2 linked regions of the Tamandua tetradactyla genome follow. The protein of the gene in region 2 interacts with the protein of the main gene of each other region in a pairwise test. Links are inferred from orthologs where the notes say so. Each region holds a gene or a part of one and is shown on either strand. Other genes may lie near its edges. The genes, in order: AP2S1 and AAGAB.

Region 1 (12,530 bases), on a different chromosome or scaffold from region 2:
CCCTCTAGCCTCTTTGGCTCCACCTTTGCAGTCTCCTCTTCCTGTTTTACATTTCCAGGCTCCTCAGGGATCTGCCCCAGACCTCATCTCTTCCCCTGCTACATACTCTCAGATATGTCTCCCTCTCCACGCCAGCTCACCACTCTCAGTCCTGACCATGGTGGGCAGTCCCTGTCTGGGTTGGTTCTGTCTCCCTCACTGGGCTGTGAGCCCCAGAAGGGTAGATCTGGGGCTGTCTCGGTCACTGCTGTGTCCCCAGCACTGCCCAGCCCAGGGCCTGGCACAGTGGAGGCACACAAGGATTGGAATGAATGAATGAATGAATGAATGAGAGTATAAGCAGTGTGCCTGGGCCTTGGGAGATCCTAAGAGCTGAGGGCCGGGTCCCTGTGTGACATTCTCATCTGATTGGCCGATCTTTCTGGTTACACCTTCCTCTAGGCTGTTTCTGGTCTCTTTGGGCCTTACCAACCCCCTCCTGGTCCCTCAAATATGTATCCCTCCCGGCACTCAGCATAGGACCTGGGACTGCGTGGGCAGCAGGCTGCACCAGGAGAGCTGGTATCCTCCAAGCCCCCATCACGCTACTTCCAGATGGGGAGCCAGCCTTGGTCCTCTTCTCTTCTTTACTCTCCTCTATCCTCACTCCTTGGTGAGTTCCATGACTTTAATAAGTGATGTGCAGAAACTTCCACAATCTTGCTATCTGCCCAGCTCTCCCCCTGAACTCTGGACTTATCACTACCTCCTGGATGTCTCTGCCTAGATGTGTAATGGACACCTTGAATCTTACTGTCCCAATACCTCACTCCTGATCTACACCCACAAACCTGTTCTTTCCAAAGTCTGCCCCACTTTAAAAATGACAGCTCCAACCTACTGGCTGAAGAAGACAAAAATCTAGACATCCTTCCTGGCTCCTTTTCCATTCAGTTGGTTCCAATTCCGAAACACTTCTGCCACCTCCAGTGCTCCCATCATGGTTCCAGTGATCAATAAGACTGAGCTGGACCACTGGGGTTGTTTCCCAAGTGGTTTCCGTACTTCTGCTCTGGCTCCCATCTCACTCAGAGTCCTCACTTTAGCCCACGAGGCTCTATGCCATCTGTCCTCGTCACATCTTTGACTTTATCTCCTCCCACCCTTTCCCTGGCTTACTCCACCTCAGACATTTGGACTTCTTGCTTTTCCTAGAATGCCCGGGGTATGTCCCTGCCTCAGGACCTTCACACGTGCTGCCCCCTTGGCTCGAAATGTTCCCTCATAGAGCAGCTCCTTTTGCTCTCTTCGATTCCAGGTCTTGGAATCACCTTTTCACTGAGACCTTCTCCAACCAAAATATTTAAACTGCCCTCCACTCCATGGCACGCATGCCCCAGCACGACTCACTCCTGTGGCTGCTTAGTTTCCTCCTTGGTGTTCGTCACTACCCGAGACACCATACGCTTAAGTGTCACCCCCCATCTAGAATGACAGCAACCCGAGGGCTGGGAACTTCGTCTGTCTTGGCCACCGCTGTATCTGCAGTGCCTGGCCCACAGTAGACCCTGGAAAAATATTTGTCGAATTCTGCAGGACAGTCTGCTTGCTCTGGTTAATGTTGTGAGAACGAAAAGGTAAAGACATAGCTTTAGACATAGCAAGGAGACTCAGCAATCAAAAGCAAGGCAAGATTTTCTACTAGAGTTGAACAAGAGTTGAACAAATCATTTTTAAAAACTCATTTGGGAAAATTGGGGGAAATTTAAATATTGATTGGGCATGATAGCAATGATAAGAAATTATTATTAATATTTCCAGTACGATAATAGCACTGTGGCAACGTAAGCAAATGCTTTCATTTTTTCAGATACAACTGGACATACTAAGGGGAGAAACATTAGGGTGTGTGTAATTTAATTCAAAATGCTTTAGCAAGGGGGATGGGCACTTGGAGGTCCACTACTCTTTTCCATCTCCTTTCAGGTGTTTGAAAATTTCTATAATAAGGGTTAAAAGGGGACCAGGAAAAAAATCCTTTAGCGAAAACTGAAAAAGGTAGAGCAGATGGCAAAATAATACCAATTAGATCCGTGGCAGGTATATTCATCCTCAACCAACTTTTCACTCATTATAGTCATCTATACGCTTGCAAATGCTCACAGTGAAAAGTAAAAAGAAAAGAAAGGAGAGAAAGCTAAAAGTCAAAATGCATCGCATGCATGAGTGTAGGAAAGGAGGAGGGTCTGAAGGGTGATTGCCATCAGTGGGAGGGCAGCAGGCAGGGAAGGAAGGGGTCGGGGGCAGGTGTGTGTGTGTGTGCAGGGGGGTCCGTCACCTCCACAAAGTTGGTGTGTTTGGCATCTCGGACGGTGACCACTGCATGCACCTCCTCGATCAGCTTCTGTTTCTCATCGTCATCAAATTGCATGTACCACTTGGCCAAGCGCGTCTTGCCCGCCCGGTTCTGGATGAGGATGAAGCGGATCTGGGGACAGAAGGAGGAAGTGAGAGGCAGGCGGGTGGCAGGGCAGGGAGGGCAGGAAGGAGGGCACGGGCCAGGCAGGGCACACCAGCTGCCCCACCCACACAGGGAAGAAGGGGTCCCCCCTCTCTGCTGCTCTGTGCTTGCCCTTCCGGGGGTCTGGCCTCCCCTTTCATCCCCAGTCCTGCCAACACCCAGGGAGTGACTTCTCTTCCACCTAGTAGAGAGGAAGCCGCTAGAATCAGTCTTTACCACCTCTCATCTGCGGGAACTTGGACAAGGGCCCTATCCCTCTAAGCCTCAGTTTCCTCGCCTACAAAATGCATTTCCTAAGAAGACCTTCCTTGTCAGGCTGTTTTGAGGGTTAAATGTTTATAAACTTAATTCAGTGTCTGCCACACTGCAGGCACTCAATAAGTGTCTGAGTCCTGGCTCAGCCACTTTTTTCCCCCTTACTAATTTAAAAAAAATTGAGATATAATTCATACACCATAAAATTCACCCATTTAAAGTGTATACAATTCAGCATATCCAAAGAGTTGTGCAAAAAGCACCACTATCTAATTCTAAGAACGTTTTCATCACTCCAAAGAGAAATCCCCCAGCTTGCCCTCCGCTTCCACCCGCAACCGTCAGTAACCACAAATCTGCTCTCTGACTCTATGGATTTGCCTATCCTGGACATTGCAGGTAAATGGAAACACATACTAAGTGATCTCTGTGCCTGGCTTTTTTTTTTTTTTACATCACAATGATGTTTCTGAGGTTCAGCCATGTGGTGGCTTGTATTGACACTCCTTCCTCGCTATGGGAGAACAAAATCCCATCGCACGGCCATCCATACCACAACTTGTTTGTCCCACTCATTTGTTGATGGGCATTTAGTTGTTTCCACTTTGGGGCTGTTGTGAATAGTCCTGCTATGCACGTTTGTATACAAGCTTTTATTTGAACACCGGCTTTCAATTCTTGGGCTATAGACCCAAGAAGTGGAATTGCTAAGCCACTGGTAAAGCTGATCAACTTTTTTTAGGAACTGCTAAACTGTTTTCCAAAGTATCTGCCATTTTTTAAGTACCTTAACTGCTTAGTGCCTTTGTTTATTCATCTGGAAAATAGATTCTCATAAGGATGTGATAAGGAAACAAGAGGTGAGAAGCACTCAGCACCTGATTCAAGGCTGAGAGTAAGTGCTCAGTGTCAGCTGTAATTCTCATCTGTTCTGACGAGAGAAAATTTGTTATGACACTACTGCAAGGCCAGGTCAACCCACATAGGCTGCTGTAAAAAATCAATGAGCTAATGCCAAAAGTGCTCAGTAAAATGAGCCAGTATTATGACCGGGACGCATTTGAGCCAAATGGCTAAATGCACACATAGCGGAGCCAGAATGAGTCCCAGCATTCACTGCTAGTGAGATGTGTAACCCTGGTTAAGTCACTTAACCTCTAGGGGCCTCAGTTTGCTCTTTCGGTATAATGGACACAATAAGAATAACTCCCTCACAGGACTGCTGCACGAGTTAATAAACATAAGGGGTGTAGTATAGGACTAGCACTTGTTAAATGTCATGTAAGTATTAGTTTTTATTAGTATTATAATTCATCATTATTTGGCTTTGAGAAAAACCAGGGCCCAAACTCACCCAGCTCGGAAGCCTGCCTTTGGGCTCACTTCTGGTTGAGACAGGCATGCTTATGCCCATTTCATAGGTGAGGAATCCAAGGCACAAGGAAAGGAAGTCTCCAAAGGCAGAAAGCAGAGCTTTGCTCTGAACCCTTTTAACATGCTTTGTAGAGCCTCCATCTTTTACTTGGAGTCTCAGCCTCTTTCTTAAATCTCTTTCTCCATATGCTCTACCTCTCCTCCCCTAACCAATCAAGCTGGAAGGGAACAGGATATTACACTTTACTTCCAAGAACCTCTTCTGCTGAACCAAGGAAAACCACTTCCTGGCAGGGCAGGAAGGAGTATATGGGCATGGGGGTGGGAGAGCAGGATCCACACCAGGCAGCCACAGCCTGGGGACAGAGCCAGAGGTGCTAGAAGCAGGCCTACAGAGCTGAGGGAGGGCTCTGCCTGTCACCCCTAAGTGCTCTCATATACCTTTTCCCTGTTTCTCCTCCCAGCTAGAATCTCTCCACCTCTGGAAATCTACTCTGAGACACCCCCTCCCTCCTGTACCCTCATCCCTCTGAATGACCCCCAACCTTTCCATCTTCCCTGGAGACATTCCCTTTTTTTTTTTTTTTACATGGGTAGGCACCGGGAATCGAACCCGGGTCCTCTGGCATGGCAGACAAGCATTCTTGCCTGCTGAGCCACCGTGGCCTGCCTGAGACATTCCCTTTTGACCTTTATTTTTTCATGTTCAATTCCCCCTCTCTGACCTCAATTGGTCCTTTCATTGAGACATCCCTCCTCTGACTCAACTCCTCTCCTGTTCTAACAGGCACCATCCTGCCTTCAAGGTACTACTTCCTTGGGGAGACTCACCCCACCACACACACATCCTGTTCTGACCCCTTCCTCCATTCATCTCTTTTCCTAACTCCCTGTCCAGAGGCCCTTTCTCCTGTTCCAAAGCCCCCTCCACAAATCCAATGCTCAGTCCTTGCTCCAAGAGTACATCTACTTCCTATCCACAAAGAACCCATCTCTTGGAAAGCCCTGCCCCAATGCACCTCCATTTATTTCTAGTATTCACTCACTCTCCTTTTTGCAGCATACTTTCCCTGATTTATTTAAAGCCCCATTCCCTGCAGTGCCTTACTTCTGGCCTCTAGCATCCAGTCCCTTCCCCTGGAGATTATCTCCCTCCATCTGCAGTGTCCTGCCCCAGTTTCAACTCCATTTCCTAGCCTGCAAGGCCGGCTTGCTCTCTCTTGCCCTCCCCCCTGCCCTGTTTCAATGTCTCCCCTTCTTCCCCAACGCTCCTAACTCCTCCCTGGAGAGCCCTCCTTCTGAGACGCCCGCTCCCCACTTCCAGAGCCGTCTGCCTACTCCCGAGACCCTTCCTCGAGAGTTACCTCTCCAGTTTTAAACACCCTCAACCGCCTCCGATGTCTCCCACCTGTATTGCCCTCTTCCCTTGCCATACCCTTCCCGTCTCCAATGCCCCCTCGCTTCGGGACCCTGGCCCACCCCCGCGTGCAGAATCACGACCCTGTCCCTCCTTTCTCGATCCTAGATCAGCCCCAACCCTGCGAGCCCGCGCCGGGCCCAGACCATCGTGCCGTGGCTGGGGGCTTTGTTAGCGCCCAGGTGTCTGCACGCTGACCCCCCTCCGCCAGTCCCCGGCGTGGGCACGCCCCGTTACCATGGCGACCCCCGTCCGGACCCCAGTGGCCCAGATCCCGTGGCGACTGGGTGGCTCCGGCTCTGGCTGCTGTCGGGGGCCCAGGGCAGAGCGGACTTCCGGTAAAAGACCCGCCTCGCCCTCTCGCGCACGGCCCTCTGGGAGTTGTAGTTCCACGAAAGCGTTTGTACATCCGTACGCAAGCTATGTGGGGAAAGAGCCTGGTCCTCTTCCCAGCATGCTGCGCGACTGTCCTTTACCCACTTCCCTGCTGCATGGGGAGAGTTCTGGGGGAACATTTCCTCAGAGGACTACAATTCCCGACATGGATGACAACCATCGTAGTGAGTGTTGCCTTCTGGGAAATGTAGTTAAGGCAGAGCTCCCCTTCCCCTCCCACACGTTTTGAATAAGAAATTTGTGGTAGGAAACGAGAAAGTGTCTTTCTGGGCTCACGCAGTGCTTTGTTTTAAATATGTGGAAGGTTTCCCTGTAAGAGATGGTCAGTGGCTTAAGAGAGTGAATTTGAGAGTCAGAATTGTGTGGAAATCTTGCCCTCGCACTAGCCTTGGTGACTTTTGGCCAGGGATTTCACCTCTCCAATCTCAAGTCTTCATTTGGGAAACAGGGATTATCATAATATCTGTCTTGGTCGGGTGGTTTTAAAGCTTCGAAAAGATTCCAAAGTTAACACAGTGCCCGCCACATAAAAAGTGCTCAAGTAAAATGCTTTAACGTTATGAATGTTCACTGTTAAGCGATGTCATGTGATAGGGTTTTCTCATTCACTCCCTAGCCAGGGGTACACTAGTCTTCTTTCAGTGATTCCAATATGCAAGTGCCTTCTCACCTCAGTGCCTTTGCACTTGCTGTTCCCTGGAGCGCCTTCCCCCATAGTTTCCATGGCTGGCCTGGAATTACCACCTCTGCAAACCTACATATAAGACCCTGAATTTTTATTTTTATTTGAAATATATGTCTATATATAAAGCAAAGCAAGAAAAAAGCAATAATTTTGAAAGCTCATTTAAACAAGTAGTTACAAAACAGATCCCAGAGTTTGTCATGGGCTACCATTCCACCATTTCAGATTTTTCCTTCTAGCTGCTCCCAAACACTGGAGGCTAGAAGGAATACTAATATAGGGATTCAGCAGTCATACTTATTTGTGAAATCCCATTTTCTCTGTTGTACCTCCTAATGTCTCCTTTAAGCCTTCTCCCAATCTATAGAGATTTTGGGGGGGATGCCTCTTCTGACTTTTTCAAGTTGAGAAGGGGTGCAGGACCCTGATTTCTAATTTTAGAGTTTTTCATTGTTTAGCTTGTAACTTTCAGGAACATACTTAATGTTACTGTTATAATCCTAGATATTAAAAGTTGATTGTTAGTAAATGAGTACCTATATATTTCAAAGAAAAAAGCTCTCTCCCTCCATTTCTCTCTAGATTAGCTGTTAGTTTGGTTTCTTTATAGCTGTAATTACAACTATTAATGATTTTATTTGTCTGTGTGTGTATGTCGTCTAGATCCCCCATGAGGTGAGGTGGTGAGCTCGCTGAGAGTAGGGCTCCTGTCTGTTAACTGTTATCTTTATCACCTAGAAGATTGTCAGCACATAGTAAGCACCCAATAAAATAATTAGAATTAGTAACAAGAGCATAATTTCCCTAATAATAATCACCATATTATCAAAGTATGTAAGTTGAAAATGTGATATTGACAGAAGAACAAACACATGAGTGGCTATTCAACACAAGGGCAAACAGAGCCCAGAGATTATTCTGACTTTTGCACTGCTCCATTACCAACAGGGCTGGACTAGGGTGAACCAAGTAAGGCACCCAGGGTGTCAAATTAAAAAATCACTCATGCACAAAAAATGAGAAAAGTTAAAAGGCGCTCACTCTGAGGTGTCCACTCAGCCCTTGCATGAGGATGAAAGTGAGTGCTTCCTTAAATCGTGTTCCCTGGGCACTAAATTTGCCTCACATTCGTTCTGGTCTTGATCTCCAGGACTCATCTTAATGCCCAGCATAGGTAGCACTTGGCATTTGCTGAATGAATGAATGAATGAATGGAAGAACGAACCGGCAGCAAGAAAACAGGTACTGATCCCGCTGTGAAAGCATTCATGGCCTAGCAATGGGGCATAGGTTTAAATGATGTTACACAAATAGATAAGAAATAACAATCCTGTGATGAAAAACTACAGGATACTTTGAGTGTTGTATTGGTTCTCTGTGGTTGTGTAATGAATTCCCAAACACTTAGTGGCACAAAACCACAATAAACATTTAGTGTCTCCCAGAGTTTCTGTGAGTCAGGAATTAAGGAGCAGCTTAGCTAGTGGTCTTGGCCTGATGTCTTTCATGAGGTTGCAGTCAGCAAGTTGGCCAGGGCTGTGGTCATCTGAAGGCTTGATTGGGGATGGACGATCTGCTTCCCAAACAGCTCACTTGCTGGCCTGCACACTAGTGTGGCCATTAGCAGGAGGCCTCAGCTGCTCACCAAGTGGATCTCTCCATAAATACATGTGAGCATCTTCACATGGCAGCTATTTCCCCCCGAAATGAAGGACTCAAGAGAGGGCAAGGTGGAAGTTGAAATGTCTTTTATGATCTCATCCCAGAAGTCCCCCTCGGAAGAAGGATCAGTAGATTACTGAGGGGAGGGGACAGAGGATTCAAGCAGGAGAAGAAATGTGGGTAGAATATCAAGCAGACTTCATCTCTGTCCTCATGATCTGAGTGGCTTGGAGTCTGAGGTTAGATGCCATAGACAGACAAGAAGTATCAGTCCCAACTCTTCTACTTTAGAATGGTCCCTGGGAAAATTCTTTTCTTGGTCATGGCCATTACTATTGTAGAAAAAAAAATGAGAACAGATGAAACATGTATCAATAGGAGAGAAGTCACCTATTCCAGGATTCAGTCACATAACAAAGTATTACACAGCTGTTAAAATGAATAAGCCACAGATGTGGCCTCTAAGCTAACTCGGCAGGTGAACTCACTGCCCCACCCCCTACATGGGACATGACTTCCAGGGCTATAACTCTCCCTGACAACATGGGACATGATTCTGGGGGATGAGTTTGGGATCTGGCATCATGGGATTGAGAAAATCTTCTTGACCAAAGAAGGGGAGAGAAAAGACAAAATGAAGTTTCAGTAGCTGAGAGATTTCAAACTGAGCCTAGAGGTTATCCTGGTTATTCTTATGCATTATACAGATACCCCTTTTTAGTTTATGATGTATTGGAGTGGCTAGTGGGAAATACCTGAAACTGTTGAGCTGTGTTCCAGTAGCCTTGATTCTTGAAGACGATTGTATGACTATAGCTTTTACAACGTGACCATGTGATTGTGAAAACCTTGTGGCTGATGCTTCTTTTATCCAGGGTATGAAGAGATGAATTTTTAAAAAGTGACAAAAAAATAAAGAATAGGGAGAGGATAAGGGGTGAAAAATTGAGTAGACTGCAATAGTAGTGGGTCAATGAGAGGGAGAGGTAAGGGGTATGGGATATATATATATATTTCTTTTTATTTATTTTTCTGGAGTGATTCAAATGTTCTAAAAATGATCATGGCAATGAATACACAACTATGTGATGATATTATGATCCATTGCTTTTATAGTTTGGATGCACTGTATGGTTCATGAAGATATTTCAATACAATTTTTTTTAAAACAAGATAAATCAGCTAGATTTTCATGCATTGACATGGATCATCCCCAAGACATGTTAAAGCAATGGGAGGTGCACAATGATACTGTCACATTATACTACTTGGTTTTTCTTTTTATTTATCTCTCCAACTTTGTATTTTGAAAGAAATCCTACTCACCAAAAAAGCTGCAATATCAGTACAATAAACTCCAATATATACTTCACTTAGACTTGCCAATCATTAACATTTTGCCAGATTTACTCTCCTTCACCATTTAAATTATTTTTTAGTTAGTGGCAGGTACCTTCATACTTCACCCCAAAGCCTTCATGCTTCAACATATTCTTCCTAAGAACAAGGACATTCTCCTCCATCGCCAAAATACAATAATCGCATTCAGAAAATTTAACCTTACTACTCTACCATTACCTAGTAAACAGGGGATGTTACTGGAAAAAAAACCCCTGATTTTTCCAGTAACATCCCCTGTAGATTTTGTTTTTGCTCCAAAATGCAATTCAAGGTCAGGGGTTGCATTTAGTCATCGTGTTCCTTTAGTCTCCTTTAATCTCAAATAGTCATTTAAGACATTCACATTTTGAAGTGTTTGGGTCAGTGGCTTTGCAATTAGAATTTGTCTGATGTTTTTCAATAAATAGATTCAGGTTAACATTTTTGGCATGAATATCACAGAAGTGATGTGGAGTCCTTCTTAGAGCAGGGGCACATGGTGTCCCATGTTACAGATGAGGAAAGTGAGGTAGAGAGAAGTTGGGTACCTTAACCAAGATTACACAGATCATAATGGTGGAGCTGGGATTCAAGCCCAAGCATTCCAGCTCCAGAGTCCATGCCTCTAGCCACTATGCTATACTGTATGTGTCTAAATGTAGTGAGAGAGGTTTGGAAGAAAACACACCTCTGGAGAGGCAAGTGAGATTGGGGTGGGTTGTCTAAGGAACCTGAATCTTAGCTGGGGTATTTTAAATTTTTACAAGGACAAATTCATGCATTGTGTAATTAAAAAGAAAAGAAAATCTAATATGATAGAAAAATTGGGCAAAAGGTTTGAACAGGCACTTCACAAAAGAGACAGTTTAAATGGTGTGCTGGTTTGAAAGGATTTATGTACTCTAGAAAAGCCATGTTTTCATCCTAATCAATCTTGTGGATTCAACGGTTTCTTCTAACCCCTATTCAGGACTATAGGTTGGAGGTTTGATTAGGTTATCTCCACGGAGATGTGACTCAATCAATTGTGGGTGTTAAACTTGATTAGATGGAGACGTGTTTCCACCCATTCTATGTGGGTCTTGATTAGTTTACTGGAATTTTATAAAAGAGGAGACATTTTGGAGAGAGTTCCGTTTGAGAATGAGGAGAAAGCCTCAGAACCACCACAGAGAGATGGGAGATCCACTAGAATGACAGCAGAGCCACGAAAACCACACAGAGTCCACCAGACAGCGATCTTTGGAGATGAAGGAAGAGAACGCCTCCTGGGGAGCTTCATGAAGCAAGAGGCCTGGAGAGAAGGCCAGCAGACATCACCATGTTCGCCATATGCCTTCGCAGTTGAGAGAGAAACCCTGAATGACACCAGCCTTCTTGAACCAAGGTATCTTTCCCTGGATACCTTAGATTAGATATTTCTATAGATTTGCTTTAATTTGGACATTTCCATGGCCTAAAAAACTGTAAACTTGCAACTTATTAAATTTCTCCTTTTAAAAGCCGTTCTGTTTCTGGTATATTGCATTCTGGCAGCTAGCAAACTAGAACAAATGGCTAATATATATATATGTGTGTGCTGGTTTGAAAGGATGTATGTCTCCTAGAAAAGTCATGTTTTCATCAAAATCCCATTTAATAAAGGTAGAATAATCCCTATTCAATACTTTATGTTTGAAACTGTAATCAGATCATCTCCCTGGAGATGTGATTTAATCAAGAGTGGTTGTTATGCTGGATTAGGTGACGACATGTTTCCACCCATTTGGGTGGGTCTTGATAAGTTTCTGGAGTCCTATAAAAGAGGAAACATTTTGGAGAATGAAAGCGATTCAGAGAGAGCAGAGCAGAACGACAGAGCCACGAGAAGCAGAGTCCACCAGCCAGCAACCTTTGGAGATGAAGAAGGAAAATGCCTCCCGGGGAGCTTCATGAAACAGGAAGCCAGAAGAGAAAGCTAGCAGATGATGCTGTGCTCGCCATGTGCCCTTCCAGCCAAGGGAGAAACCGTGACTGTGTTCACCATGTGCCTTCTTGGATGAGAGAGAAACCCTTAGCTTCATCGGCCTTCTTGAACCAAGGTATCTTTCCCTGGATGCCTTTGATTGGACAAGTCCATAGACTTGTTTTAATTGGGATATTTTCTTGGCCTTAGAGCTGTAAACTAGCAACTCATTAAATTATTTTTTAAAAGAATCTTTTTAAAAGCCATTCCGTTTCTGGTATATTGAATTCTGGCAGCTAGCAAACTAGAACAATATATATGAATAGATGCTCAACTTCATTAAACATTTTGGAAAGGCAAATTAAAACCACAGTGAAATGCCACTACACACCCATTAGAATGGTCAATGTTTGCGTATATAAATTGACAATGTTAAGTATTTGGGAAAATGTGGAGCAGCTGAAATTCTCATATATGACTGTTGGAACTATAAATTGGTACATCCTCTTTGGAAAGCTGTTTGGGCAAGGCGATGTTCATTTCCTATGGCCAGCGATTTCAATTTTAGGTAGGAGAAATACATACATACATTTACCAAAAGACATGTTCTAGACTTTTCAGAGCAGCACTATTCATATAGCCAAAAAAAAAAAAAAAAAAAAAAGTAACCCAAATGCTCACTGTTGAGTCATGTCCCCCACAAAAGTCATACTTAGGTTCCAACCTCTAGTCCTGCGGGTGCGAATCCATTTGTAAACACGTTTTTGAAGATGATGTTGGTTAAGGTGTGTGCTGGTTTGAAATGATGTATGTACTCTAGAAAATCCATGTTTTAATCCTAATCCCATTTTCTAAAGACCGTTTCTGGTATATTGAATTCTGGCAGCTAGCAAACTAGAACAATATATATGAATAG
Region 2 (13,016 bases):
ACAACAAAAAGACAAATCACCCAATTTAAAATAGGCAAAAAGATTTGATTTCTCTAAAGAAGATATACAAATGGACAACAAGCACATGAAAAAATGCTCAACATCACTAGTCATGAGGGAAATGCAGATCAAAATCATGAGATACCACTTCATACCCACTAGGATGGTTAGTATTTAGAAAGCAGAAAATAATAAGCATTGGTGAAAATATGAGAGAAATAGGAAGTTTTACACATTGCTGGTGGCACTGTAGGATGGTGTAACCATAGTAGAAATCAGTTTGGTGATTGTTTAGAAAATTGAAAATAAAATTACCACATGCCCTGGAAAGAAGTATATACAAGAATATATACTTCTTGTATATATCCAAAGGAAGTGAAAGCAAGGACTTGAACAGATACTTGTATATCAATGTTTATAGTAGCATTATTCACAACAGCCAAAAGGTAGATACAGCTAAGTGCCCATTAATGGAGGAATGGATAAACAAAACGTTTTATCTTCACACAATGTGTGCTGGTTTGAAAGGATGTATATCCTCTAGAAAAGCCATGTTTTTAATCTAAATCCCATTTCACAAAGGCAGAATAATCTCTATTCAATACTATATGCTTGAAACTAATTAGATCATCTCCCTGGAGATGTGATTTAATCAAGAGTGGTTGTTAAGCTGGATTAGGTGATGACATGTCTCCACCCATTTGGGTGGGTCTTGATAAATTTCCGGAGTCCTATAAAAGAGGAAACATTGTGGAGAACGAGAGAGATTCAGAGAGAACCAGAGAAGAACGACATAGCCACGAGAAGCAGAGAGCCCACTAGCCAGCAGACTTCTGACATGAAGAAGGAAAATGCCTCCCAGGGAGCTTCATGAAACAGGAAGCCAGGAAAAGAAGCTAGCAGATGACGCCGTGCTTGCCATGTGCCCTTCCAGCTGAAAGAGAAATCGTGACTGTGTTCACCATGTGCCACAGTCACTTGAGAGGGAAACCCTGAACTTCATCGGCCTTCTTGAACCAAGGTATCTTCCCCTGGATGGTTTTTGATTGGACATTTCTACAGACTTGCTTTAATTGGGGCATTTTCTCAGCCTTAGAACTGTAAACTAACAACCTATTAAATTCCCCTTTTTAAAAGCCATTCCATTTCTGGTATACTGCATTCCGGCAGCTAGCAAACTAGAACATAATGGAATATTATTTAGCCACAAAAATGAAGTTCTGATGCATGCTACAACATGGATGAACCTTGCAGACATCACATTGAGTGAAATAAGCAGACACATAAAGATAAATACTATGTGATCTCATTTATATGAAACACCGAGAAGAAGTAAATTTCACAGAGTCAAACAGTAGATTATAAATTACCAGTGGGAGAGGGTGGGGGAAGAAGTTATTCTTAATGGATGCAGTCTCTGTTTGAAGTAGTGAAAACTTTGTGGTAATGAATACTGGTGATGGCAGCATAATATTGTGAATGTAAATACTACTACTGAATTACACTTAAAAGTGGTTAAAATGGGAAATTTTGAGTTGCATGTGTCACAAAACAAAGTTAAAAAATAAAATAAGTTTTTAAAAAATTAAGAATGCCACGGTAAAGTTAAGAAGCATTATATAACATAATAAGTAATTAACACTATAATTCAGAATTTTAGATCTGGAAGGGATGTTGGAAAGGATGTATTTTTTCCTTTGGTTACAGCAGTCAAAACATTAATAATACAGAGTAGGAGTGACTAATAATATCTCTATGTTGAGGGCACTCAATTGAGAAAATAAAAATCCAAACATTGTTAAATACTATCAGGTATGCATAATGCTCTTTTATAAATACAGGTTCTATAACCAAAAGAGGGAAAACAAACATAACAAAATAAGGTATCAGTGGCTAAGAGATATCAAATAGAGTTAAGAGGCTATTCTGGAGTCTATTCACATGGAAGCTTCAGCTAGATATTGCTAAATTGCCATGGTTTGCCAAACCCCAACCAATATCATTCCTGTTCCTAAAGAACTCCCAGGGCTCTATCTGCAATTCTACAAAAGTTGCAAACACTAATTTTACTTTTCAGAGACCTAAAACTTTGAGATGGTTCCAAGGCCAGAAAAGTTCTGAAACACAGAGGTGCCATTCTCTCCAAGAACATCAAGCTGTTCCATCCCCCTACCCCATACTGTCAATACCCCTTTTCAACACAAAGTTAGAATGGGCATAACCCAAATAGTCCTAGAGACTGGGAAAAGAATCAAAGGAGAAAGAGGCGTTACAACAGAGAAGTTGGGATTTAACATGTAAGTATGACTGCTGAATCATTACATTGATATTTTTTAGTCTCCAGTGCCTTGGAGCAGCTAGAAGGAAAAACCTGGAATTATGGAACTGTAACCCATAACAAACTTTGAAATCTGTTCTATAACTACTTATTAAAACATACTTTGAAATGTACTGCTTTTTTGTTATACATGTTCTATTCCACAATAAAAAATGTTAAAAAAAAATGCAGGTTCTCTGGGCTGAACTTTTTTCTCTCCAATCAGAATTAAGATTTTAATCATTCTGAAAAGGATATGAAGTGGGCATATTTTAAAACCTTCTTTTAGGGGTTAATCTTTTCATTTTCCTTTGAAAGTCTACATTATAAGTTAATAATGTTCCTTTTATCTAATGTCAGACATCCAACCAGAATACTGCAAACAAGGTCTTTGAGTGGGGCCTTCTTTTTTTCCCCTAAAGAGAATAAAAAGGTTTCTCACAAAGTCCATGTAGGCACTTTATCCTTAGATAGCAATCTACTGATTTTTATTTTACACATATATTTCTAACGAACTTGGTTATCTGATTGTGCAATATTTCCCATTATTGGGAAATTAAAAGCAGCAAAATATATCAGGCATTAGAAGAAAATAGAAACTGGAGGAACCCTGAAGGTTCCTCTTCCTGCTGTATGGAAAGAAACCAAACCTATTCAAAAAGGTAGATATGATTCAACCCAAACCCATACTATGACTTACTATAACTAAATACTTGAAAAAAAGCATTCATTATGGTCTTCTTGCCAAAGAAAAAACTGAACTGGACACTGAAACAGTCATGGATGACTTGATTCATAGTTACTATGGTAGGGGAGAATGGAACTCAACTGCTGAATCAAAGGATGGCACGTTCCTAAAGGGCAGGGAATGGGTTGGTGGATGGAAGTGAGAGAGAGGGGTAAGTGATTTATTGAGGGTTCAATTAGGACCACATAGCTTAGAATGTTTTCTTTTGTAATAATTAGGCCACCTGGAGAAGAGAACGCATGATGGGGAAGTGGGGGGAAGCAACTAAAGTTGATAACTATGAAATAGCTAGCATCTGACTTGTTTTTTCCCTTTTATTTACCCCCACCCCTCCCGGTGTCCCAGAGCTGCAATATTAGTTTCAAGGGAGACAGGGCCAGGGAGGGAGTGGATAGGGGCATGCAAGGAGAAGGGCCATAGCCTGGTGGAGCGATAGAAGTCTTTGTCAGTCTAAACCTTTTATCCCAAAATGAGATTCAAATGAGTGATCTAACTCAATCTTTAATGATGGTAACATAGAGTGAATGCTCAACAAATACTTCGTTCTAATGCTTTCCACCTCTACCCTATTCTTTAACCTTGGAAGAAATGGTAAAGCTCTTTTTTTTTTGAAGGGGGGGCGGGGGTGCATGGGCCAGCGTCTCCCATGTGGCAGGTGAGCATTCTACCACATAAAGCCCTCTTTCAAAGTTCACTTTTTCTTACTCAAGTAATCTGCTCACTAATTGCTCTATTTTTTTTTTTTTTACCATGGAGCACTAACACAATAGCAAAGCAAAAATCACCTAAGTTTAACCTGAGTTGGCTTTCAAGTTATCTAAGAAAGACAAAAATAAAGTGGATTATCTTACAGTTTTAATTGTACCTCTAATGATTCTAATATACTTTAGAGATGTATAATGTTTCTATTCATCAAATGCAGATAATGAGCACCTTCAAGGCAGTGACCATATCTGCCAGTTCTCCTAAAAGTATATGATCTAATACCATGGTCATCATGCTTCTGAGATTGACATTGACAGGATTTTCATATAGCATATGGGAACTTAATGGAAATAAGTGTTTTGGAGATATAAATATATAAAGAGTTTTAAGACTCTTCAACAAATTCAGGTATGTTCACTAGGTGTAATTTATGATAGAAACTAACTTTATGATGTAATGCTCAGTGAGAAAATCAAGAAAAAACTGTAAATGAAAAGCAACTGCAATTTTTTTAAAAAAACTATACATTAGGAAAACTATGCATTAGGAAGGAAATGCACGAAAATGTCAACAGTATTTATTCTTGAGCAATGAGACTAAAAGTAATGAGACTACAATTTCTTTTCTCCACGTGAAACTTTATCTATCATTTTACAATGAAACACTAGTGTTTTAAAAAGGGGGGAGGGGAGAGAAAAAGAAATAGAAGCACCGTTCAGAGGTAAGGAAATCTACAATTAGAGTGGTTAGTTAACAGTAAGTACTGTAATTAAATTTTTACCCTAGCAAGGAACTTTCTAAGTGATCACAAATGATAACTAAGTCACAGAATATTTGTGCTGGAGGGACATCATGTCTAATTCTGTCATTTGATGAGTGCAGAAAAAATATATAGCTGTATGATGCTCTACAGTTTAAAAAGGGCTTCCAAAAAATATTGCATCACCTACTAAGGATCAGAGAGGGAATGTGCTATAATAGACTTACCATTAATCAAATGCTTACCATGTGCCAGCCACTGGATTAATTATTCCCATTTTACAGTTAAGAAAACTGAAAGGCCTATAGAGGTTAAGGACTTGCCCAGTATCACACAGCTAAGAGCCAGTGCTCTAAAACAAAGCCATATGCGTAAAACAGGTGTCTTCAGTTATAATCAACTTCACAAAGCTCTTTAATGGCAGAATCGAGCTTGTGACCCAGGCCCATGCTCTCTCTACAACTGTCTCCTCGTCTAGAGTTTCTTTTAAAGGTTACTGAGTTTGACAGTCACTGTGATGGTCCAGAAGCAAAGGACTTAGGCTCAGGCATACAAAAAATTGAAAAAATACTGGCAGTGAGCCTATGCCTCAAAAGGAAGGTAAAGCAGAGAATAACTACCGAGAAGAGAGGACAAAACTCACAAGTCTTATATACATCAAATGGTAGCCAAGTAATTTAACATACATGAAATTCAGAGAAAACATACTCTATCTCAAGAATAGGAACATCAGTCAAAATTACAGTATCAAAATTCCTGCACCTCATACTCGCTCAAGTACAGCTTCCAGGGTGCCTTTCGGTTATCTCACTAGATCTTTGTATCAACCGGTGGGGTGAGGTGGAGAGGACTGGGCGGGGATTAGTTCCACTTTACAGAAGAAACTGGAAGTAATACAGTAGTGGGCCGGACGGGCAGAAAAGCAACCAGCTTAAGAGTTAATGTGGGGCGGCGGGTGGCTGGGGGCCTCGACCCGGGAAGCGTCGGGCCAGCACTGGGTGGAGAAAGGGCCCAAGGCCCGTGGAGGGGCAAGGCCCAGGCAGAGGCCGGGTCCTGGGACTTTCGCCCGCCGAGGCTCAGGAACCTTGGGGATGGGTCCGACTCCCTTGCTACTCACGTTGAACCAGACGGTCCCCAGTGAAGGTGGAGGAGCAGCTGGTGACAAGCGCACAGGGGACGCCCGCAGCCATCGCCGCGCTTTGCAAGCCGGTTCCGTCTGGGAGCCGCTTCCGCCTTGGACTGCACCACGGCCGCCACTGCGCGGGGGAGACACGCCAGCTAGAGCGCATTCTCGGAATTCACCGGCTGCCCAGACTCCCCCCTCCTCCCTCTCTTCCGCTCCCGGCGTGGTATAGGCCAGGCTGCGCTTGGTGTTGCCATGGGGATGAGCATCCCTAGTACAAGGTGCAGTGCCTGAAGACTGCGCCTCCGCGAGAAGGGTAATCCTCTCCAGCCTTAGCCATGGCAGAGGAGACTGAAAATTACGACCCCATCGGATCCATCTTAATCCAGGTGGGAAACCGGCCTCCTTCAGCGCTGCCCAGTTAAACACTTACGAGCGACGCCCAGCAGCGCCGATTCACTCGCTCAAGCCCATTTCGGGGCCCGCACTGAGACTGCCTTCCACCAAATGAGGGACTCCACCCCTCAGAGAACTGCGAAACAGGCTCACCCAGATCTCGCTCAGGACCCAACACTCGCCACAGCCGTCCCTCTCCCTTCCCCACCCACCTCCCCACACACTTTCACTGCCCTGCCTTAACCTGGAGGTTGCGCTCCACAGAGCACGACAGTTCAGGCTCTGGTAAAACTCGTAAGACCTAACACACGTTTCATCGCCCTCACTTGGGAAATTTTACTTCAGAAAAGTCTATTTTGCTCTGCGGTACCATTTAAAAATGTTATGTTCTGAAAAATTTGCACCCATGACGTCGGGGGTGGAGGACACAAATCCGGCAGCTTGGGGATCTGGAGGGAGTCCCATGCCTGGGAATACACACTTAGGAGAATACGTTAAAGATAACTTGCGTTGAAAATCAAGCTAACGTTTTCAATATAGAAATGTGATAAATTTTAAAACTCAGGGAAATTTTTTTTCTAAACTGAGGGGGAAATATCAAGAAAGTCCTGAATTCTCCAGTGTAACCCAATTTTGCAACATTTTCTGAAATATACCTGTTTTCCCAGGTATATATCATAATTACAAAATTGTTAAACGTATTATCACTTTTAACTCATATTTAGCTCTATTTGCCTAAGGCTTGATGTGATTTGCCTAATGTCACTTTATCAGGACAGTCACCCAGATCGTCGATGGTCTAATTGATCTTCATGTCAGGATTTTGGTCTCTTACCTTCCATTTAGCAGAAACTTTCCTAAACTCACCTTTTCCAAAACACAAGCCCCAAAACTCAACCATTTTAACCCCATTATGAATCATACCTACATCTTATCTCATCCTTTTTCATCCTTTCTTTCACTCCCCACCCTCTAAATCTAGGGCCCGTCTTTACAAACGCAGAACAGTTGAGACATTAATGGCAACTCCTACCCAGAAAGAACAGTTCTTCCCCTACAGTATGCCTCATACTGTCTACAGAAACACATTTCTCCTTAGTTTCCTATGTTTCTCCAGACCTATGAGATCTCCAAAAACTGTTCAGAATCTGGGGAGAATCTTCCTAAAGCCTCCTTGTGCCGAATTATCACCTACTCTTGATAATTCTATATCCCAAAACTGTTCCCATTGTGATTTGGTATAGTGTAGAACAGAATGTTAACTGAAAAGCCAAAAAGAAGCCTTTTAACCTCGAAGTGGGATCCAGAGGGAATCATTTAATCAGCCTGCTAATTTGAGTTGACACTGAATTGAACAATGAATCAGAAGAGCTAAGAATAATCAAGGTTCTTGCTAGTCAGCAGTCCCGCTTGCTAGTTAGAGAAAGGGAGCCTATATGTTAACATGATTGAGGCTTACTGTGCATATAATATAAAATTCTCCTTGTTAATATGTATAATATTTATAATGAGGAAATTTGTAAGGCAGATAACTTTCAACTAAGGTTCTTTCTTACGTGGGAAGGCTCAGGATAATCTCTGCTGGCCTTCTCTCCAGGCCTCTGGGTTTCAACAACTTTCCCCAGGGTGATTTCTTTCTGCATCTCCAAAGGCCTGGGCTGAGCTGCAAGTGCTGAGATGAGGTATGCTGAGCTGCTTGGGCTGTGCTACGTTGAGCTCTCTCATTTAAGCACCAGCCAATTAAGTCAAACTCATTCATTGCAGCAGGCACGCCTCCTAGCCGACTGCAGATATAATCAGCAACAGATGAGGTTCACGTACCATTGGCTCATGTCCGCAACAACGGAACTAGGTGCCTTCACCTGGCCAAGTTGACAACTGAATCTAACCACCACACCCTGGCTCTAATATTCCCCCAGGTGGATAACTTTGGGCTAGTCACTTCACCTCTCTGGGCCTCAGTTTCCTCTTCTGTAGAATACATAGCTTGGATTAGTTCCATTTCTGACTAAATTGACCCAGTTTCCTCAAAGCTACATGATTCCTCTTTATTGTAAAGTACACTCTCTTTATTGTTAGCTTAGGCAATCAAATTGTTTCTGGCAATTATGTGTGCATAATTATATATACATGATTGCGTATAAATATGTGTGGAAATGTTGCATATATATATATGTATACATATACATGATTGCCTATAAAGCAAAAAATACTCTGTCACCATTTGTTTCACCCTAATGTGGTATATTAGGTCTGTGTTTCATCATAGACAGTAAGTAACTCTTTAGACCAGTGGTTCTCAAAGAGGTCCCTAGGCCAGCATCATAAGTACCATCTGGGAACTTGTGAGAAGTATAAGTTCTCAGGCCCCAACCCAGACCTACTGAATCAGAAACTTCAAGGGTGAGCCCAGCAAACTTTTTTTATAAACACTTCAGTTAATTCTGCAGCATGCTCAAGTTTGAGAGCCATTACTTCAAATTGTAAAATATAATCCACAATACAATTTCAAAGAAACGTAATAATAAAGCTAACATAGCATTTACTATGTATCATGCACTACCCTAAGTGCTATATATATTTTGGGGGGTGGGGGTGGGGGTGCATGGTCTGGGAATGGAACCTGGATCTCCCACATGAAAGACAAGCATTCTAACACTGGACCACCCATGCACCCCTAAGTGCTATATGTCTTTAAACTCATTTAACCCTTACAACAAGATTCCTAAGTAAGAAATATTATTATCCCCATGTTATGGAAGGGAAACTGACCAGAGATATTAAGTTACTTATTCAGGGTAACCCAGTAAATGGTAGACCAAGGAGCCGACCCAAGGCAGAAGGCTCTAGACTCTGTGCTTTCATCCACTGCCTTTCATGAGTATTGTGAGTAGGCCAATGTACATAGAAAATGCAAGCATTCTTCTCAACCCTTTTCAATTCATCATTCTGGTATAAAAAGAAAATTTCCTCTTGCAGCTTTGCACTACACTGAATATCTAAACCCTGCCTTTTCCACTAAACTTTCACCAATTTAACTTTATATATGAGGTGCTTATTAGCATAATACGTCTTTATTCTGAGAAAGAACATAATGGTTAAGCATGAAGGTACTAGAGTCAGACTACCTGAATTTGGATAGTTCTACCAAGTAGCCAAATATGTTAACTTGCACTTAACCCCTTTAAACCTTAGGTTCCCTCAAGTATAAATGAAGATAATAATATTAAATCTCTCATAGGAATCTTGTAAAGATTAAGATGTAGGCTAACATATACAGTATAATGCTCAATAAATGTTAACTGTGAGGTCTGGTCTCTTGCCCTTTTATGTTATGTAGTTCTCTGTCTTTTTTAGGTTAGGGCTGCATTTTACTCCTAAATTTCTGGGAGATGAGGAAAAATTGATTTCTACTTGTCTTTTTTAACTAGAATTACTCCATTCTTAAGTGGAACTTTATTTGTAGGTGTTATTTAGCAACAAGGTGTGCCTTATTTCCTTCTTAATTACAAGCTGGATTTTTGGATATCCCATTATTCCAGCACAGGATTAGGCAATAGATAATGGATAGTTGAATAATGACCTACTCATTAATTCAGTCTTCAATAATTTATGTTAGGTTCAAAAATGAATGGAGCTATGCTGATATTTACCATTATCTAGAAAACCTTTTTTTTCATAGATGGTACAAATTAACTGTAAAAGCAATGTTTTGAGAAAATATCTAAAATACTTGAGAGAAAATCTTTAAATACAAATAATCAGTATTCTGATTATAAACTCTTTTTTGTGACTTATGAAAATATGTTCCTTATGTTTGGATTTTCCAGGATAGTTCTGATTGTGTATATTTTGTCTCATTGTCAGATAGTGTATCACAGTGCATGTTTTCATTTTTGGTTCAGAAAATGTGATCACCCTATTTATATAGAGTTCTACTAGGCAGCATTCTGTTAACTACTTAACTTCTATCACTTTCAAGTCTATAAATCAGACTTTTTACAATTTTAGCCAGCTCTTTTCTCTACTAATTAGAAAGAGTGAGGTTTTATTATAGTTATAATCATCATAATTAAAATAGTAGCCAACATTTATTAGGAGCCAGACACTGTGCGGAGAGCTTTAGATTGTCTCGTTAAATCCTAACAACAATCCTATCATGCAGAAATTATTTTTAGCTCTATATATAGAAAAAAAAACTAAGGTGCAAAGAAGAGGTAAAGTAACTTGCCCAAGGTCATACAACCACTGTGTGTTGATCCTTAATAGGTTATGGCATGTATGTAAAACAATCTTGAAGAAACGTGATAGTAGTCCCAGGGAGGTTTCCTAGGTGCTTTCTTTTATTAGTGGCTCTTAGAGGCTTTGTGTTTATTCTTCATTAGTAATAATATGGTATCTTTTTTAATATAACTTTACAAATGCTTGCTTGTCCCAACTATTAAACATATTTTGGTGCAACAAGAAGTACCTAGTCTTGCAATCAAAATTAGCTTATTGATTAGTTTGGAAATCTTATTTAAAAAATCCAGGTAATAGGTTCATACCAACCGTGGAAATACTGGATCTCATTGACAATTTAATTTGATATCAGTCCCTCTGCCTGGTTTGCCTGGAACATACAATATAAAAACGAATGAAGCTAAAAATAATTAGAAGTGATGAAAATGACTCAACCAAACTCTATATTTAGCAGAAAAGAATAAAATGAAATTATGAGGCTGCTTCTAATAATAAGGAGCCTGTTTTCATGGTGCTTTTGAATTCTAGAGCATATCTTCGCTGCATTAAATCTTTCAATTCTTTATTAAGCAGCCCTGTCCCCAAACTGTCAAATAATCTTCCTCCAAGTAGGAAATATACGGAAAGCCATGTGTTTAATGATCACGGAGATGATGGGTAATGTGTAAAATTTCAATATGATAGATTGAATCTATTTGAAGAAAGAACAGTGATTTAGAATTTAAGATCTCTTCTGCTACCCAAAATTTGTGAAACATCTTCTACAGTACTTGCCTTTATTGCAATTATACAGGCAGGCACATGGGTGGTTATTAAGGGGGGAGAAGGAAATATTTGGCAAGTAAAGTAAAAAGTTCTTCAGTAAGATTAAAGAAGCAGTTCAGTGAACACTTTACTGAGCACCAGTTTTGTGCAAGAAGGTTCACTGGGTTTACAATTCAGGAGAGACTTAATATTTATGGAGTGCCCTCCTAGTACTGTATAAGCATTTTACATACTCTAACTCATTTTATTCTTACCACCATACTGAGGTAGATATCAATAAAACCTCATTTTCAGATGAGATAGCTAAGCCTCTAAGAGACTAAGTAACTGGTTTAGTTCCTTAGGCTGCTCAAGCAAATACCAGGAAATGGGTCAGGTTAAACACTGGGAATTTATTTGCCCATGGATTTGAAGCTAAATCAAAGTCTAAATTGAGATGTCATCAAGGGGAGGCTCTTTTCCCAAAGACTGGGTTCTGGTGCTGACTGCTGGTAATCATTAGTCCTTGTCTCTTCTGTCACATGACAATGCATATGGTGGCCTCTCCTGGCCTCTCTGTTCTCTTCCAGGTTCCATTGAATTCTAGCTTCTTGCTTCTGTGGCTTGCTCTCTCTGTCTGAATTTCATTCTGCTTATAAAGGGCTCCATTAATAGGATTAAGACCCACCCTGATTGGGCTGGGCCACACCTCAATTGAAGTAACCTCATCAAAAGGTCCTGTTTATAGTGGGTACACACCCACAGGAATGGATTAAATTTAAGAACATGGGGCGGGGGGCGGGGGGCCCTACGTACAGCTCCAAACCATCACAGTAAACTTTCTCAAGATCATTTAGTAAAGAAGGAAGTAGGATACCAGTTAATATTTGCCTGATTCCAAAGCCTGTATTCATTCATTTTCACATGCACTACCTCATTTTCATTCGTCAGTTCTAAGAGGTAGAGTAATTATTTTGGTTTTTATCCTTGATGAAGAAATTAAAGGTTCAGAAAATTTGGATACCATTCATGGAGATCATGTGACTCATAAGTAGTAGAGCTAGGAGTTCTTTTTAGCTGCCTTTTATTCAGCTGGTACTATGTATATCATCATCACAAAGCTCTATACAGAAGTATTATTTTCGCACAAGGCAGATGAAGAAACCAAATCTTTGTTTCTCTGATGAGCGCTGTTTTCACTCCCCCAGAAGGTGACAGACATAATTGTAGAATAACACACAGAGCTACAAATACTAGAAAAGGGAAATTCACTGCATTTGAAGGAGGAACCAAATTATGGACCTGGAAGTGGGACTTGCCCTGGAACTGTCTCTTTGTACTTTCCAAATGTCTTTAGATAATAAATGGTAAATCAGCTTGCAGCAGTAATTTGGACAAATTAATGGAAAGAAGTACATCTTCATCCTTGGTGCCTACAAGAAAGCAGTAGGTATGTTCAGATTTCAATCTGTGAGCCCTGAAGGCCTTACATGACAATTTGTGCAACGTACAAATGACCAGATGTGTCTGCTAGTCTGTAATGCCCATTGGTGAAAAGATGCAAATTCTGTCTTTTGAGTACTTGACTCTGTGGCAACATTCTAGAGTAATCAATAACGTAGTTTGGATCAATGTGTGGGGCCAGCTATACTAAGAGAGAAAAGGTAACTATTTCAAAATGCCTTTAGCAACCCAGTCTGCAGATTGTTATTGGTGTGACTATTGCTGAAACAGGTGTTGGGTTCATAAATTTGCATAACAAAATGTTTTTCTTGTGGCAGCAGCCCATACAATAATTGGTGCCATCTGTATTTATCTGTTGAAATTTATTTCCCAATATGAATATAGAAACCCTTACACTGTCTAATTTCATAAGGCCCATTTTATTCTGAGGGTGCTTGATGTTTAAGAGATGTTCATCTCTATCTGAGAAAAATAAAAATTGAAGGAAAATGTTAAAGTAATAACATATGTTGCTTTT

The links.
Region 1: the proteins of AAGAB (region 2) and AP2S1 interact in binary tests that used the Homo sapiens proteins (3 or more experiments, as listed by UniProt). The link is inferred for Tamandua tetradactyla from reciprocal best matches to the Homo sapiens genes AAGAB and AP2S1.

Annotation. Positions count from the first base shown.
Region 1 is NC_135342.1:14,398,352-14,410,881, reverse strand, and holds the start of AP2S1 (AP-2 complex subunit sigma), read right to left. Parts: upstream 5,962-12,530; 5' UTR 5,787-5,961; coding exon 5,784-5,786; intron 2,468-5,783; coding exon 2,318-2,467; intron 1-2,317. UniProt on the Homo sapiens protein: Component of the adaptor protein complex 2 (AP-2). Adaptor protein complexes function in protein transport via transport vesicles in different membrane traffic pathways.
Region 2 is NC_135340.1:84,519,349-84,532,364, forward strand, and holds the start of AAGAB (alpha- and gamma-adaptin-binding protein p34), read right to left. Parts: upstream 5,759-13,016; 5' UTR 5,721-5,758; coding exon 5,648-5,720; intron 1-5,647. Other genes in the region: IQCH (IQ domain-containing protein H), read left to right, coding at 5,992-6,042. UniProt on the Homo sapiens protein: May be involved in endocytic recycling of growth factor receptors such as EGFR.